Neodiprion lecontei: one gene and its partner. The protein of the gene in region 2 interacts with the protein of the main gene of each other region in a pairwise test. Links are inferred from orthologs where the notes say so. Each region holds a gene or a part of one and is shown on either strand. Other genes may lie near its edges.

Region 1 (7,155 bases), on a different chromosome or scaffold from region 2:
ATCACGTTGTAGGTAATGTAAAAAAATAGAAAACAAACCCCCGCATGTTCAACTTGTAAATTATACGACTTTTCTTACCGCCAAGTTATTCTAAATTAAAATTTGTATTCTACCGTCTTTCATTAGCCGATAGATATCGTTAATTATAGTAGTTTGAATGTTTCGTGCAATTTGTGACAGGCATGTTTCAGTATTAAACAAGTTTTACAACACATTAATTCCGTCATAATTGCGCTCATCAGTTTCCATTCTCCATCTTTCTCTCTCTCCTTCTCCCTCGCCTCGTGGCGCAGTATCGATAACGGTGTTCGAACGCTTCGCGCCTCAAAAAGCGAGGCGACAGAGGCGCCGACGGCGGCCGCGACTCGAACTAAACGTCGATGCCGCGCGGTGGCGCATCGATCGCAGCGCAGCCATCGCCATCGGATCTCGTTGCGTAGCAGCGAGGCGGGCAAGGCGAGGCGGGAATCGTCGATTGGAGCTGTTGGAGCTGGCAATAGATAATTAGAGAACTTACGTTGGACTCTCGCGAGGTTAAAGACGACGACACGACAGCGCTGCGCGGCAGAAGGCACTCGTTCCGTCACTGATACTTGTTTACGTCGAGAGTCGCGTTAGGAATGAAACGAGGCGACCTTGAAACGAACGCGAATCGAGGCTGATGAATGAAAAGGGAGTATTCGCAGAACACGTTAGACCGTAAATTCTTGCCGGGGAATGTTCCGATATTATTGAAAATTACGCGAGCGTTATTTCAGTCACGATTTTTTTTAAATATATATTTGTACCTCTTCAAAACGATAAATATTACACGTATGTAACCTGTGCGTGATTGTATAAATATGGGTGTACACATACCGTGTTACGCCGAATCGTCACGAGGTTACGCACAGTTAATAAAATTATATTCACGGCACACGCGGTTTTGAAAAAGGTGGATAGTGAAGGAACCAAAATATAATGCAAGATGTGAAGACATTGGCGGAGTAAAAACTTTCACAACAATTTTCGTAATGATATTGGTATTTTTTCTTTGATTCGCAAATTTCTGTAATGACTTTTCCAAAAAGAGAAATGTCTTCGCATATTTACATTTCGGCATGTACATTAGGTATCTGCAAAATTCAATACAGCAAATTAACGCTGAATTACTCATATGTAAAAAATTATAAACCAAACAAAATGTGCGGCAAAATTCTTGCATGTTATGTAAATACAGCAAACTGGAAGCCATGTTATGTAATATTATTTATGTACCAAGTATCAACGAACCGAAAACTTTGAGTATGTATATTATACATAGGTATATGATTGTACATAGACGGGTAGGCATGAATAAAACAAAACTTAGCCCCCGCAATTCTCAGATTGCGATTTCATCTCGAATTTAACGCACACACCCGGTGTTTGACGGCAGCGATCTTTCCTTATAATCTGTTTTTCTATTTCTCTAACATCGCGGGTCGCAGCAGCTGCCTAATAAAATTATACACAAACAAAGTTACCTATATAATCAGCGATTGGAATCGCGAGATTTTCTGCCGAGCGTCGCATAGGTTAAAGAGGTCTCCAAAACCGTTAAAAAATCGTCTATTTTTTCTCCTTAAAACCCTATACACGTCGATACGTATTTGTTTTTTATTCTTCGCCGAAAATCTTGGACTCAAGCTTTACACATCGAACGATCAAAATTATATCTATCGGATAGAACTTGTATCTATTTTACATACATGTAATACGGTTAATACAGTTTACAACATTCGAAAGGAGGTACGGGAATTCCGATCGTCGTAAATGTCTCATCAATCTTGGTTTACGTATTACAATATGAACATATGTGAATCTTGTATACATAATGAATCGGAATCTTGGAGTGAAATGAACGATTCAACTCTGTCTTATTTTCACGATATTTTTTCCTTAATTTTGTATCGGGACTTGAATCGTACACAATATTCTCAAAAAGCTGTACATAAGAAATAGAAGAATTTCAATCCTTTCCGCAATTATCGAGCCTGATTCAAATATCCCGCTCTTCTGTTCGCGATCTCTCCGCCTCAATTACCGCTATCAAGCTGCACTCTCGCAGTGCAAAGTGTACACGCACGTATATACGCTTCTGCGTACGTACATTTATACATACCTATATGTACAGGATGAGATACGTGCACGCCGTACAGCGTCGCGTTGTGATATACGAAAACGCGTGTGTAACAAATGCGTACACGCATACACGCATACGAAACTCGTATCATGCCCATTCGATCTGCGTGCGCATGGTCAACGGTTACAGGTTAATATCGCGAAGCCCCACCACGTCTGACCAAAAAGCGCGATGGTGGGGGTGGAAAAGATGCGGCAGAACGATGGAGGGGCCGCGAGTCCCGCCCGCAGTCCTTCAGACGATTGAGGAATTAGGAAAAACCGCCGTCGACGACTTCGTGCATCACATGGATAATGATCGACCTCTGCCAACGCGTTGCCAGGCCAAGGGACGCGTACGTTAACCTAGACGAGAAAATGTGCGGTTGAATTTTTGGCGCAGAAAAACCCGGCTGATGGCGCCACCGACGGCCAAGAAATAAGAGAGACAGATAAATTGGGAGTTCGAGCAGGAGACAAAGAGAGAGCAGAGAGAGAGAGAGAAAGATAAAGAGAGATTGAGGGTGCGTGGCGAGAATTGGGGTGGAGAGGGCGGGACGGAGGCGCAATTGGCTCTCCCCTTCCCTGTGACACCCGGTTTGCCCCTCCCCGACGGGATCGGGAGAGTGTGGAGTTGCCGTGTGACGCTGAATCAAAAACTCTACGCGTTCAAACGGCGTTCCACAACCGCCCGGTCAGGATCGCGACGGAGGCGCGCGCGCAGTGTTTTGAAATAAAAAAAGAAAAAAAAAAGCAAACAAAGCTTCGAGAGAAAGAGAGAAATAGAAAGGAAGAAAGAAGGAGAGTTTTAGTTGAAAGTCCCGCGTTCGGTTGTCGATCATTTCGTTGATTCTCGACCAGGAAACCAACCTCGGCGCGATTTTAATCCCAGATTTCACGATATAAGGAAAAAAAATTAAAATAACGCGATTTTCTCGTACACGCAAGAATTCCTGTACATCTATACATAGAACGCGATAACGCGCAGTGGTAGTGGAGTTCTGCCTTGCCACTGCTGCAACTGTCATTTTTGTTATTGGCGGGAAGTGTGATATGCACACGGGTGGTGTACGCATATCCATGCAGACTTATACGTATTGCCACATCGTGTGGCTTAAGTGAATACATGCAACACCCACGAGGAGATGTTCAATGATTACCTGTATACAGTGTCTGTTACACGTGTAGATTTGAGAAAAGAATTTTTTTTTTATTGCTGCTAAGATTATTTTCTTGTCTCAAAAAAGTGGAGGAGATTATTGAATGAAATCTCTTTTTTAAAATACTACTTAAAACACAACCACCAAGGTGCCGATGATAACGGAGTAGTTTTGTCGTCGGAAGAATATTAATAACAGTAATGATAATTCAACCATTGATAATTACAACCTGAGTATAACGTCGTGAAGTAAGAAAACACGAGAAGAATAAAGTCAAAGAAAAAAACGTCACACGCGTTGCAAAAAAAAAAAAAGTATAAAAATCTCATTCTGGCATATCTCGCCGTCCTTATTTCTCGACAACTTCCACGGATGCCCGTCTCTCCACCACAGTCCTCAAGTCGCTGGTTGGTTGTGTTGGTGTAGTTTAAGGTTTGTTGCGAGCTCCGCGCTCAGAAGTTCCTCAGGCCTCGCGCACCGACCGCAACGTTGCCAGATTTTCAATATTCTCCACAACCCGCGCTCTCTCTCGTCGTCGACAGCGTTGACTTGCTCGCTCGCTCGCTGCTTCCAGAGACACACAAAAACCCGCCTGTGTATATACGAGCACGCATACAGAAGCGGAAGTTAAACCGTGAGCTGGTCACTTAACTGCGCGGGCGCGTCAAGTCCTCGAGGTTCCTACCACGCGAGAAAGAGAAGCATCGAAGAGAGTTTGATCATCATCACCGTGGTCGACGTCGTTTCGTGAATCGGAATTTTCTTACGTGCCGAGATAAAGTGTAACAGAAGAGAAGTGCGCGATATAAGCCTAGGAATAATCGTCGGAGTACTGTTCAGTAATCTTTCCACAAACCGATCAAAAAGTGAACGAAGTCGAGGAAGCCCGCGCATTTTTCTTTTTCGTCCATTCCAACTCGGTTCGCACTGTGTGCGTGTGTATATGCGTACGTGTGTACGGAGCTCGTTTGGAAACTTCGAGTGTATTTGCGCATCGGTGTCAAGTGCGTACGTGTTTACGCGGGCCGTGTGATAAATAGTCCCGTGTGATTTCACGCTAGCATTCAAGTGGTGGAATTTGTGTTCAAAGTAGTGGAAAGTGGTGTTTCAAAAGCACAGAGTCTCGACTTTTGACCGTGCGGTTAGTACCGAATACCGATTCGATTCGGCGTGCGCCCCACAGCAACGCGATTCAGCGCCTGTGAAAATCCACACGAGAAACAGATATCCTTAAGTACGTGAGAGAAAGTATCCCGATACCGGCCTCCAAAGTATTCTAAACGTTCCCGTACAACATCGTCTACTATAATCGTTGCGAAAACGGTCTAAATCGGGGTTGAAACTCTTGGGAAATGGATATTTGAGTGAATAAGAAGAGGTCGGTGCAGCGATAAAAGAGGCGGACATTTTGAACGACGATAGTTCGTCCGTCTCTCTCCCACCTTCTGGCCGAGTCCGGCAATAGAGGAGGCGTGTAATAATCGTTGTGTGTCGTCGTAACTGCGCGCGCGGGGCGAGAATCGCGCCTGTGTGTCGGTGAGTCGCAAGTTCCTGTGTGTTTGCCTGTCGGTGCCCAGCGCGGCTAGGAATCGAGACGAGACTAGGCGGTGGACCGAGACGGGCGACTCGCGTGTGCTGACCAAGAGACTCGCGGAGCGCCGCGCCGCGGCGACAAGAGGCATCCAAGGGGCGAGAGATATGAGCGCGCGAGTTTTGAACCCGATGCTAATGACGGAAATGGGCCGGAGTTCGGCGGGCGGCTTGCAGCAGGGCCGCGGCCGTGTCGTGCCGACGAAGGCTGAGCTGGCTCCGATCCGACGGGACCTTTTCGGGCCCATCGATCACGCGGCAGCCCGCGCCCTTGCCGAGCGTGAATTGCAGGCCCAATCGCGTCTGGACGCGGAGCGATGGGGCTTCGACTTCCAGTCCGGGGTGCCGCGGTCCTCGACGAGGTACACCTGGGAGGTCATCGCGCCGACGGAGGTCGTCCCCGAGCCCTACGCCCTCCGGGGCATGCCCTACTTGCGGAAACACGCTCCCAGCACACCCCGAAAACCGGCTAAGGTCAAGGCGGCCACCCTCGCCAACAGCGAGGCCAAGCCTTCCACCGTCACGACCACCCCCCTAATCGCGAGAAACGCCGAGATGACGCCGCCCCAGGAACACCGCGTTCCAGACATCGACGATCGGTCGGACGACGAAACCACTCCCGACGCCACTCGTCCTCACGATGAAGAACGCGAACTCGACGAGGTCAGGCTCAAACAGTCCCCCGACGATCCGACCACTCCCGTTCTGCCACACGCCGCGAGGAAACAGTCAACGATCACCGGTGAGCCCTTCTTTTTTTATTAAATACTGCACGATTCGTGACCGAAGACGATATCCTCCCCCTCATACTGCTCTTTTCGTTCTTCGGACATTTAGAACTCCTCGCAGAAACTGGTTGTGGCCAATGAACATTGCATTTCCTTCATCGTTCATGAATGAGAAAGATGATATGCTTGAACGATACTCATCGTGATAATGTGTGTAAATGAATGAAAAGAAGTTTTGGGGAAAAATCATATCAAATTTTTGCACTGAGACGACGAATCCAACGGTACATCAATCTAGTACAGCATATCTCAGACAGCACTAGAGCCAAAAAATTCGTCGAAAAAAAGCATATAATTATACGCATGTAGAGGTATTTGCATGAAGTTTTTCGGGGTCATATATTATGATCACTTTTTACTAAATTCTTTATGGTTGTAGAGAATATCAGGTTTGCATGTTTAGTTCGTGTTCGAAACAAGCAACGACTCGATCGTTTTTATCACATCGATCAGTAGTAGGTACATATGAGTGAATACCGATGATAGAGTAAAACTTCTTTTTAATACTTGAAGCAAAATTGTTTATATCAAGTAATTGTACGAATAGTAACATTTTTCATCTATAAAATTCCAGTTATGGAATCTTTCATCCGGTCTCTTCTTCTGCCCCCTTAATTTGTTCTTTCACTCTATCCTCTACAATTTTGTGTATAATGTACCAAACGAAAGCCTATATGTACCTCTACTGTCCTGTGTCGTAAATTTTAATACCCGTGGATAAAAAAAATAATATAAAAAAGACGTGCACGTGCCGTGCTTCATTCATACAAAAAGAAGTTCCTCCTCACTCTTGACAATCCTCTGTAACCTGCACGTGAATAACATGTATGTCATACACAATATATGCTGTACTACCTGAAAAACGTAGTGAACCGAAAAATCCTTATGTACATATTTAAGAAGACAACTGTAGTAATGTGTTTTTTATACTCGTTTCATCCGGTTTAAAATAATTTACCTACCATTCTCCCGAATGCCTCGTGCAAAGATCATCATCGTCATCGCCGTGGTGACACAAAGTTTTTTTGTCTGCGACGTAGTTTTCTGCAACACAAACCAACGAGAGTGTCAAATTAATACAAGGTTGAAGTTAGTAACGACTGTAACGGTATCAAAACTGAACGCTTAACGAAAAATCACTATTTCGCAGCTTGAGAGTGACTTGAAAGAAGTTCTCTTTGCAAAAATATCAGCTCCGTAATACCGTGTGAAAGTTGACTGAATTTTATTCATAGATGCAGTCCCAAAGTTGCGAAATAACAAGTTTTCCCAAAAATGCATCGTTACGTTCTAACGTTATAAATTCCAGCCTCTTAAATTAATATATTGCAATGACAATATGTATTATATAAATGCATCTGAGGGTTAAACACACATACATAAACGAGAACGCGATTTGCGCATAAATTATCGTGTTATCTGCGACACTGCAATACGTATGTGTATATGACGATTTACGAGCACCTTCGGAATAA
Region 2 (9,962 bases):
TGGGTAACAGGCAAGGGTAGGAAGGTCGCGATGTACCGTGATGTCACTAACTTTTGTAATCCACAGCGTCAAACGATCACAGAAATTCTTTTCCCAAAAGACTCCGTATTCGAGTCTCTCGACCATTTGTAAGCATTTGAATATTAACGAGAATTAATTTACTATTTCTTGTCACTCTGCAACCATTTTTCAATCGTTGTTCAATTCAATTATTTAGTCATTACCGATCATTATTCCGTTCAATTGAACTCTGTGATCGTCTGAATGGGCAAAACGCATCTCTGGACCATCTATCGCGTTCCGTGGTACGCTAGATGGGGAGAGATGCTGAGCTCGAAGACTTCGCGTCGAAGAGGACCGCCGACCGTCACGCCACACAATAATGCATGCCCTCCTCCAACCTCCCTCCCAATTTCGATTTGTAATCTGAGAAGAACAATCCGCATAGCAATGTATCTAATTCGAAAAGATGCAGATGCGGATTGGGTTTCTACAGAATTTTTCGGGGCAAGTCCCAGGTAATACAAATTTTTTGACAGTTTATTCTGTCGCGCCTTATTGCGCGTAGAATAATCAAGAAAATTGGACGCAGCCTTTTGCGCGTAAATTACTAACGGGAATCGGACACGTTTTTTTACGCGTCGATTTTGCAAACAGTATATAAAAGAGTTACGCACTCGAGATGTGCTGATCTTTCAGCTCATGGGTCAATTTTTTGACGAATTTTAAGGTTTTCAAGTTCCACGCCGCCTTTTGCGCGTGGACTTGATACTTCTTACTTATACGAGAAAGCGCGGCATTCGAAAGCCGGCGCTCAACGCGCAGGAACAAAAATCTCGGTAGTATATACTGATAGTGTAGAATTTTGGCGTAAGTATTTATGAAATATATCTGAAATGTACAGAAATAGTCGTTTCACTGATCGTATTATTTTCTATTTCAGGGCAACAAAACTTTGCGCAGAAAGTAATGTCGATTCAAAAAGTTTAGAATGTTTTTGATACATCAATAGAATGAATATTAAAGCGAATATTATGTTGGACTCGACCCATTTTTGGTCAGTGGATGAACTTATGTGATTGTGCTAACCACACCTTCGTCTGTTTCAGCTAACGAAATCTTTGTTTGTTTCAGGTAATCAGACTTTCTGTCCTCTTCAGCTAATCAAACTTTTTGTCTGTTTCAGGTAATTGAATCTTTTGTCTGTTTCAGATAATCAAACCTTTTATCTGTTTCAAATAATCAAACCTTCTGTCTGTTTCAGATAATCATTCAGCTAATCAAATTTTCTGTCTCTTTCAGCCGATCAAGCTTTTTATCCGTTTTAGCCAATCAAATTTTTTGTTTGTTTCAGCTAACCAAACTTTTTGTCTATTTCAGCTAATCAAACGTTTTGTCTATTTCAGGTAATCAGACTTTGTCTCTTTCAGCCAATCGAACTTTTTGTCTAATTCACAAGTTAATTAAACCTTTTGCTTGTTTCAGCTAATCGAATCTTTTGTATGTTTCAGCTAATTAAACTTTCTGTCTCTTTCAGCTAATCAAACGTTTTATCTGTTTCAGCTAATCAAACCTCTTGCCTGTTTCAGCTAATCAAACCTTTTGTCTGTTTCAGATAATTATACTTTCTGTCTCTTTCGGCTAATTAAGCTTTTTGTCCGTTTCAGTTAATCAAACCTTTTGCTTGTTTCAGCTAATCGAACCTTTTGTATGTTTCAGCTAATTAAACTTTCTGTCTCTTTCAGCTAATCAAACGTTTTATCTGTTTCAGCTAAACAAACCTCTTGCCTGTTTCAGCTAATGAAACCTTTTGTCTGTTTCAGATAATCATACTTTCTGTCTCTTTCGGCTAATTAAGCTTTTTGTCCGTTTCAGTTAATCAAACCTTTTGTCTGTTTCAGCTAATCAAATATTTTGACTGTTTTAACTAATCAATTTGTCTCTTATTCGTTAATTATATTTTTCACTTATCTAAGCTAAGTATATTTCTGTTTATATCGAAATATGTCACTAATTTTATTTTCATCTGTTCCACGTAAGTGAGGTTAATTGACTGTTTAGGTCTGGTTCAAGGTCAGTCATCTTTTCACCGATACATAGATTTAGCGATGTATATAGTTTATTTTTTAATGGTTTTACAGTCTTTTATTGCGCTCGTTTTAGTGTCATAGTTTTTTTTCTCGAGTCGCCCATAGGTCATGTTCGGTTTGTATTTCACTGTATAATTATATAGCACTGTCGTATTTTGGTGGTTGTGTTTATCCTACTCCGATTTGTTTCCATTTCTTCAAAGATTTCTGCTTAGTCTTCCGATAGGTAAATGCCAGCGTCTTACGGCGATTCGTATTTTCGATCTTGGTTTAGTTGTGAATTGTTTTGCGTATTCACCAAGTTCTCCATTTTAGTGATTATCTTATACATCATAAGAAAAAAAACCGTGCCCGAACATCCAAATACAATCACCGTTCGCTTACAAGATAAAAACTATCACCCTTCATCTATAATTAAAACAGCCAACTTTCATCTACAATTAAAACAGTCATCTTCGATCGATAATAAATAGTCAGCTGGTCATATTAACTGAAAAATTTCGAACAAACTCCGAATATCCGCGAATACAAATTGATTGGGAAAAACAATTTACCGTAGTTAACATGTGAAAAAAAGATATTTGCAATTTTTCGAAGAATGTAAGATCGATCTTGCAAGTATTCTCCGTGGAGTAGGCCTACTGGGGATACCACGTAAAAAAAAAACGCGCCGGGTGCTCTACCGCTTGCGGTGGTGTGGAAACGAGCATAAGCGAACTTATTTTCATTTGTCAAATACTAACATATTGTAGTTTTTCAAATGACAATTTTATTCTTGTATAAATTTAGCTTATTGTCAATAAGATTCGTGCTTCGGTTATGTGTAACGCATGTGGAATTGTAATACCTTCGGATTTCGCTAGTTTAGTGAGAGTGAATTCCACGTAAATATATTTTTCTTTTTGATAAATTTCGTTTCTTAATTAAAGTCAACAAAGTGCACATACCTTTGGCAATTCCGACATCTTTCTCCCCGGCTTGACCTTTCGCAGTCGACACAGGTTGTTGACATAAAACACTATAATTGCATACCAAATGAGCACGTCTCCCATAACAAACGATAAAGAACAAAATATTGAAGCTCATTCAAAACCGGTCACTAAAAATGACAACAAGAACGATGTTCAAATTTTGTACGTTCGAGATACGGGTGATCCGTCTAGCACAGTAAGAAATTTACTCCCGTCTTCTCTTTTGAATCTATATTCTTGAAAATTATTTAAAAATTTTGATGACAAATTTGTATACCCGCTTGATTTTTATATAACTTAACTGAATCAACTGTTAAATACTTTGTTCAAAAAATCATTACACTTACATACATAAAAAGAAAGGCAACTAATATGATAACCTGCATTTTAAAATATTACCAATTGATTTTAGAACCAATCAAAAGTCACAAAAGAAATGCTTTGTCAAATTATAGATATAAATTTATGACCTTCGACAAGAATGAAGTGATCCGTTAAGAACGCAAATCACAGATCAGTTGAATTAAAAAATATGACTATTTGAGTGGGAAAAATTTTCAACGGGTGATTATTGTTACTTACAACATAATTGTGAATAAAATAGTGTGTACAAAAGGTCGTACTAAGTAAGATAATACGTAATACGCGTATGCTATAAATATTCATCTTATAAATTGCAAATACGCCGTGAAAGTTGCGAAGGCCGGACTTCCATCCAGAAGATGCATTCGTAAAACGCAAAAAAAAAAAAAAATGATGCGTCAATAACTAAACGTTTTACGCATACGTTGGCTGCCTCGTCACCAATTCCAACGACCAGTACACGCATTGTTGAATAGCGATCTTCGCAGGAAGAGTATCGCTTGGAATTTAATGGACCTATGTATATTTCTCCAAAACGGACAATCAGCCCACCACCGGAAACCAATGCTGTTCCAATAACTCATCAACGATGCATATTTCTTGGATAATTATGAAGCAATTACATGAATTACTGACAAGTTCCTTGTAATTTTAACATGTATAATGTAAATCATTAACGGTCTAACAATGTCTCTTATACAATTTGTAAAATTCTTCTACCTAAGTCTGCAAAATTTATAAATTCTGTTTGCGGAAATCTGTAGAAATTCTTCGGTAGAACAGAATCTTGTCTCAGAAAAGACTAGTGGATTGTTGGAAGCAGAATACTTAAAACTTTCGGAAGGTCTTACAACCTTTAATCTGTATTTTTTTAACAAAGATATCGTAGATAATTGATGAGAATTTGATTATAAAGAATCCAGAAAATCCATCTTTAGGTAATATCAGTATTTAGCTTCTGATATCCGATATATAGTATCATTACACAATTGTATCCTCTGGGTAATATTATTATTAGGGGTTACCGAAAAAGTGCTGAAATTCCGAATAAAACAGTATTGACTTTGTCGGGAACACATATTCTCAAACTCGAAGTTCCTAACAATCAACACGGACACTGCCATAAATGTATAATAAAGTGGACAGGTATGAGTAATTATAATCTTAGCCACTCGATAATAAATTTCTGAACAATCTTGTGTTGGGGGGGTCAGCGTACAGAGCCGCAAACGCTTTCAGCTTTTGGATTTGTTCAACTGAATTCGTATAATGGCGCGCTTGTAGATAAAGAAGACTGGTAAGGGCCTCTACATCCTCTCGAGAGATTTCGGCGCCAACAAAACGCGGGTAAAATCTTGCTCCCCAGTCCCGGTGTTTAATGTCTGTCTTGCCGGCTTGTTGTGGGTTGTAACTTTACTGTAGACTGTGTTGCGGGTCTTTTCACCAAGTACATTCGTTTTTAATAGTTTCAAAGTTGATCGAAGAGGAGCTAAAAATGTTCGAGGCACGTTTGGTTCAGAGTGCGATATTGAAGAAGGTTTTGGAGGCGATAAAGGACCTCCTAACCGAAGCCACCTTCGACTGTTCCGATTCGGGAATTCAGTTGCAGGCTATGGACAATGCTCACGTTTCTTTGGTGTCTTTGAATCTGCGAAGCGATGGCTTCGACAAATATAGATGCGACAGAAATTTATCGATGGGCATGAATCTGGGCAAGTAAGTTGCTTCATCAAACTGGTCGCCCGTTCTTTTGAGAGGTTATACACACAGTGCCGATACTAAAATTTTAAACGCGGCTGCTTTGTTCTCAGCCTTGAAAAGAGTAATCTGCAATTCTTAGCAATTACATCGTATATTAACAAGAAAAATGACAACACTGGCAATATAATATCGTTTGTGCGTCACTTGCTTGTATTTTTTGGGTAACAGTAATGATGATAACTCATGAGTGAATGCAAATTTCGTTCACACCTTATTTGCCCTTTGTCTTGAATCGTCATCTTATTAATACTTGATAGCTGATCAACGTGAATATCAGTTTTGTTACTAAACATTATGAATCACTGTTTTACAACATGTCGTCCCTGTTACATATCGAGTCGTACTAATTCAATGATTTGAACCCAAAATATTATAATTTTCAGCATGACAAAAATTATGAAATGTGCTGGAGCAGAAGATACTGTTACGATGAAAGCTCAGGATAATGCTGATGTGGTTGCATTTATGTTTGAATCCAAAAATCAGGAAAAAGTTTCAGATTATGAAATGAAACTTATGAATCTAGATCAGGAACATCTTGGTATTCCAGTAAGTTCCTGTTCTTGAAGTAGTAATAACTGATTAGGAATACGAATTCTGCAATATTTTTGTTGGAAAGATTCATTCATGTTTTATCAATTCAGCGAAAGAAGACCCAAACTTCTCAATGCAAAACTATTTGGTCCATTTTTGACATATTTGATTCAAGCAACGAAACAAATGTTTGTGTCCAAACCGTTTTGAGTTTTTTGAAATTCATGTGTAACATAAACAGTTGAATTCTGAAACTGTAAAATGCTCGGTACATTAATAAATACAATGTGAGCTATCTCAATTATAAGAAAACCTATTTTGCACAGAATTAGGGAAAGACTATAATCCTTGATCCTTGAGTATTGTTATTAGTGATAATGTGTAGGTGAAGATAGGTGCAGAGTGTATCAACAATCATATTTTTTTTCTTCAGGAAACTGACTATTCTTGTATCGTTAAAATGCCTTCCCAAGAATTTGCACGTATATGCAGAGATCTGAGCCAGTTTGGTGAATCCATGGCTATTTCTTGTACCAAGGAAGGTGTGAAGTTTAGTTCAGCTGGTGATATTGGTTCAGGTATACAAATGAACTATCATTACACTGTAAATTTAGATAAATACATTCATGATAATAATACCTCAATTAAATGATAAAAAAAATTTGTGCAACATCTAAGAACTTAAATTTTGTCGATCATATTTGACAAAGCACAAGATTTACCATGCTTTATTTTTCAACTATCTATTGACCTTTGTTGCTTCCTTTCACTACCAGGGAGATTAATCGCCGACATATTTAACACTTTGCCATCCGGCGACAGCACAGTGGTGACGTGCGCAAACTGGTGGCCAACGACCGGCGACACCACAGTGGTGTTGTGAGCACAGTACCGCTCTGGGTCGGTGACGACACTTTAGTGTATTTAGCTTTCTGCTGGTATTTTGTTTCGGTAACAATAAGTTACACAAGTGATCAAACTTTTTATTTGTATAAGTTCTTGTGCCCTTTCATAATGGCAGACGAAAGAGACGATGCAAATATTTACGACGAATGCGCGGACGATTTGTCTGACGTTCCGGATGACTTGGCCGATTGGGAAGACATTGAAAATGAGAACTAACGACGAAATTAGTAAAACTTAACAATTTATAATCTCCCGATAATGTCAAGAACGGCCGGTGACAAGTCAAGTGATCCGAATAAGCGCTGCCGGCGCCAGGCGAATAAATATTTACGAATCGTGCGGACGGCAAAGTGTTAATATAGTGACATCTCTACAATTTTGAAATCGTCAGTTTATTATCAGTTGAATTCAGCCAAACGATTTTGCTCTTATGTTGTATTGTTAATGAATCAAAATCTCAATGTCAATGCACATAAGTCAGGTTATCACAAGCATGTAGCTATGATAGTATGAATGTAATAGTCGAGGCAGTGGTTTCTCTACTTCTAGTGGTATTTGTTTTATTATTTCAGCCAACATCAAATTAGCTCAAACTGCAAATGTGGACGCTGAAGAGGAAGCTGTGGTCATAGAAATGCAGGAGCCAGTATCATTAACGTTTGCTTGCCGGTATTTGAACAGTTTTACAAAAGCAACACCCCTTTCTGCTCAAGTTCAACTTTCAATGTCTGCCGATGTCCCGCTGGTTGTTGAATACAAAATTGGGGAACTTGGACACATCAGATATTATTTGGCACCTAAAATCGAAGACGAAGACAACTAAGGACAGGATCTGGTATTCGTGTTGTTATACCGCTCATTTTTGTTACTGTACAAAACTGGAACACTGCAAAACATGGTGTGTTCTGAGATGAACCCTATCATTGTGCCTTGATGTTGGAGAAATGATCCATGTGAGCAGTCGAAGAATTAGTCACTGGATATTTTAATAAATTCCTTATTTTTCATCGTCATAGAGCGATTTCCAACTTTTATACATTCTGTAACTAATATCTATAACCAATACTAGATGACAATATGAAGTACTTCTCAACGAAATGAGTTAATCAAGCTGACTGATATTTCGAAGGTAATTTATTAGCAAAATGTACAGTTAAAATTATTTGGCTGGCCACAATGTTAATGTGATGAGGAGTTGGCTCTAAAATCTGCAATAGAATAGCGTGATCACATGGATTAATTTAACGTTGAGTTACTTTGCAATGTACATTGAACAGCTTCTGTCATAAGCCGTGCTTGTTTCGAAAGTATTGCGTTTGTAGCATAAGAGGAGAACCAAATATATTTCCGAAATTTTTGATACATTTTGTGACTCTTAATTCCATAACCTAGCCTAATTGAAGTTTAAAATTTAATTAATATATTTCTTAATTCGTAAATCTATCCAAGCTACGGTAATATAAAAATACATAATTAGCTTACGAATTGCCTAGAAGTATATAATTAAATCTTAAGTCATTTGGATCTTGAATTAGTATTTAGTAGTTAAATATCGATCATTAGAAGGTAAATAATGGCTAGAAATATTATACACTCAATTACTCAGGTCAAGATGTTTATAAGATAATAGTTCACTCATTATTTCTCGTACATTCATTAATTATTATTACTATTATTATTATTATTTTTATTATTACCCTTTACTTCAGTAAATTCTTTTACAATAATTTTTGCAAAAATCGAAATAGCAACAAAATGTAATACTTTGGCAATATTTGTCAGCCTCTTTGGTTAAAAAGCCCTGGTATTGCTTTGTCGTCTACTATTTTGCAACTACATGTTAATATTTTTTTTTTTTTCCGATTTTAGTTTTGCTTTTTTGTAGTGGATTTTTACTTTAACTATATTTATATATCCATCTTATACCTAATATTTGATTCACTGTAGAGACGTTTTTATAGATGCAAGTTACACAGGACTTGGCAAATGTCAAAACTGCAAGTGGAAACTTTGTTTCTATAACTTGGAGTAACAGGTGTATGCATGATATTATGTAAGTTTGACAAGTCTACTCAATCGTCATGCACATTTTAGACGAGTAAATTTTAAATAGAAAATGGAACATTCCGTATGACCGACGAATGCTATGATTATTTCTATCTTTCGTTTTTGACACGTCTCATAAAATTGGATCTTGTAGTTTTGCATACGTATAGGGTCATTCATTTATTGCTGAACTTGAGGACCACTACCGCCGCAGTTCTACCTGGCACTCGCATCAGGGGTCCTCTCTCACCCGGGTCGACATTCAGCAATGAATGTATTTCAGTGGCTCTGCTATTCATAACTGACAGCAGCGTTACAAAGCCTAGCCACATGATGGTATGCAAAAGCAAAGAAAAAAAAGGAAAACAACTTAAGTATTCTTATTACCATTACTGCCATATAAGCTAGGGTGTACAAACTTATCATGAAGCGTTCGCAGATGTCTTAGTAAATTACTTTTAACATTAAAACCTTTCTTGCAGTATGAACATAGAAACGGCTTTTCACCAGTGTGTGTTCTCTGATGAATAACCATTGATGCATGGCTGGGAAATACTTTTTGGCAGATGTTACATAATTTTTGATGGCTGTGAACTCTTTTTGGTTTTGGAGGCGCTGAATTATTCATGAGCGCGAGTTGTTCTTCGGTATGTTCTGTTTGTATGTGTCGCACCCATTCTTGAGGAGTAGGATACATGTTACCACATAGGTCACATTTTAGAGGTGGAAAATCTTTACTATCGTCATCGGTGTCACCCTGCATTTGAAGAAATATTTCATGAGTGATTGGGGACTAGTTGCATGGTAAGACACGGTCTTCAAAGAAATGTGTAATTCTACATGCAGCCATTTCTCATTGTCAAACAAGTGGCATATAAGGATTCAATGCAAATGAAATGGAGTTACCTTTCGTTTTCTTCTTCTATTTTCCGTCATATCGGCATGGGTAAATTCTATGTGTCGAACCCAATCAGATGGTCTGTTAAATGTTTGGCTACACATGTCGCAAGTCAGAGGCGTATATTCCTCTTCTTCCATTTCTCCTTCTTCATCAGCACTGTGTACAATCTCCTATCGAACAACAATTTAACATTATTATTATTATTGGATTATTAGGTAATACTGTGTATAAGTTGAGTCTAAATTTGGCAAGTGATATTCAGTATCACAGACTTAAGACTTACACTCAGCTCTATATGGTACAATATGATTAAGGTACGAATGCATACTCGTAGATGGTAGAATATGAATACGAGACATAATCATAATAACGTCAACATACTGGTTTGAT

What was found.
Region 1: the proteins of proliferating cell nuclear antigen (region 2) and uncharacterized protein LOC107216851 interact in a two-hybrid assay, tested with the Drosophila melanogaster proteins (2 studies listed by BioGRID). The link is inferred for Neodiprion lecontei from reciprocal best matches to the Drosophila melanogaster genes PCNA and dap.

Annotation. Positions count from the first base shown.
Region 1 is NC_060263.1:20,993,684-21,000,838, reverse strand, and holds the start of uncharacterized protein LOC107216851, read left to right. Parts: upstream 1-2,813; 5' UTR 2,814-5,000; coding exon 5,001-5,634; intron 5,635-7,155.
Region 2 is NC_060260.1:30,415,549-30,425,510, forward strand, and holds proliferating cell nuclear antigen, read left to right. Parts: upstream 1-2,775; 5' UTR 2,776-4,919; coding exon 4,920-5,140; intron 5,141-5,568; coding exon 5,569-5,734; intron 5,735-6,152; coding exon 6,153-6,297; intron 6,298-7,197; coding exon 7,198-7,448; 3' UTR 7,449-7,989; downstream 7,990-9,962. Other genes in the region: zinc finger protein 37 homolog, read right to left, coding at 9,042-9,428, 9,578-9,742, 9,954-9,962. UniProt on the Drosophila melanogaster protein: Likely to be an auxiliary protein of DNA polymerase delta complex and is probably involved in the control of DNA replication and repair by increasing the polymerase's processibility.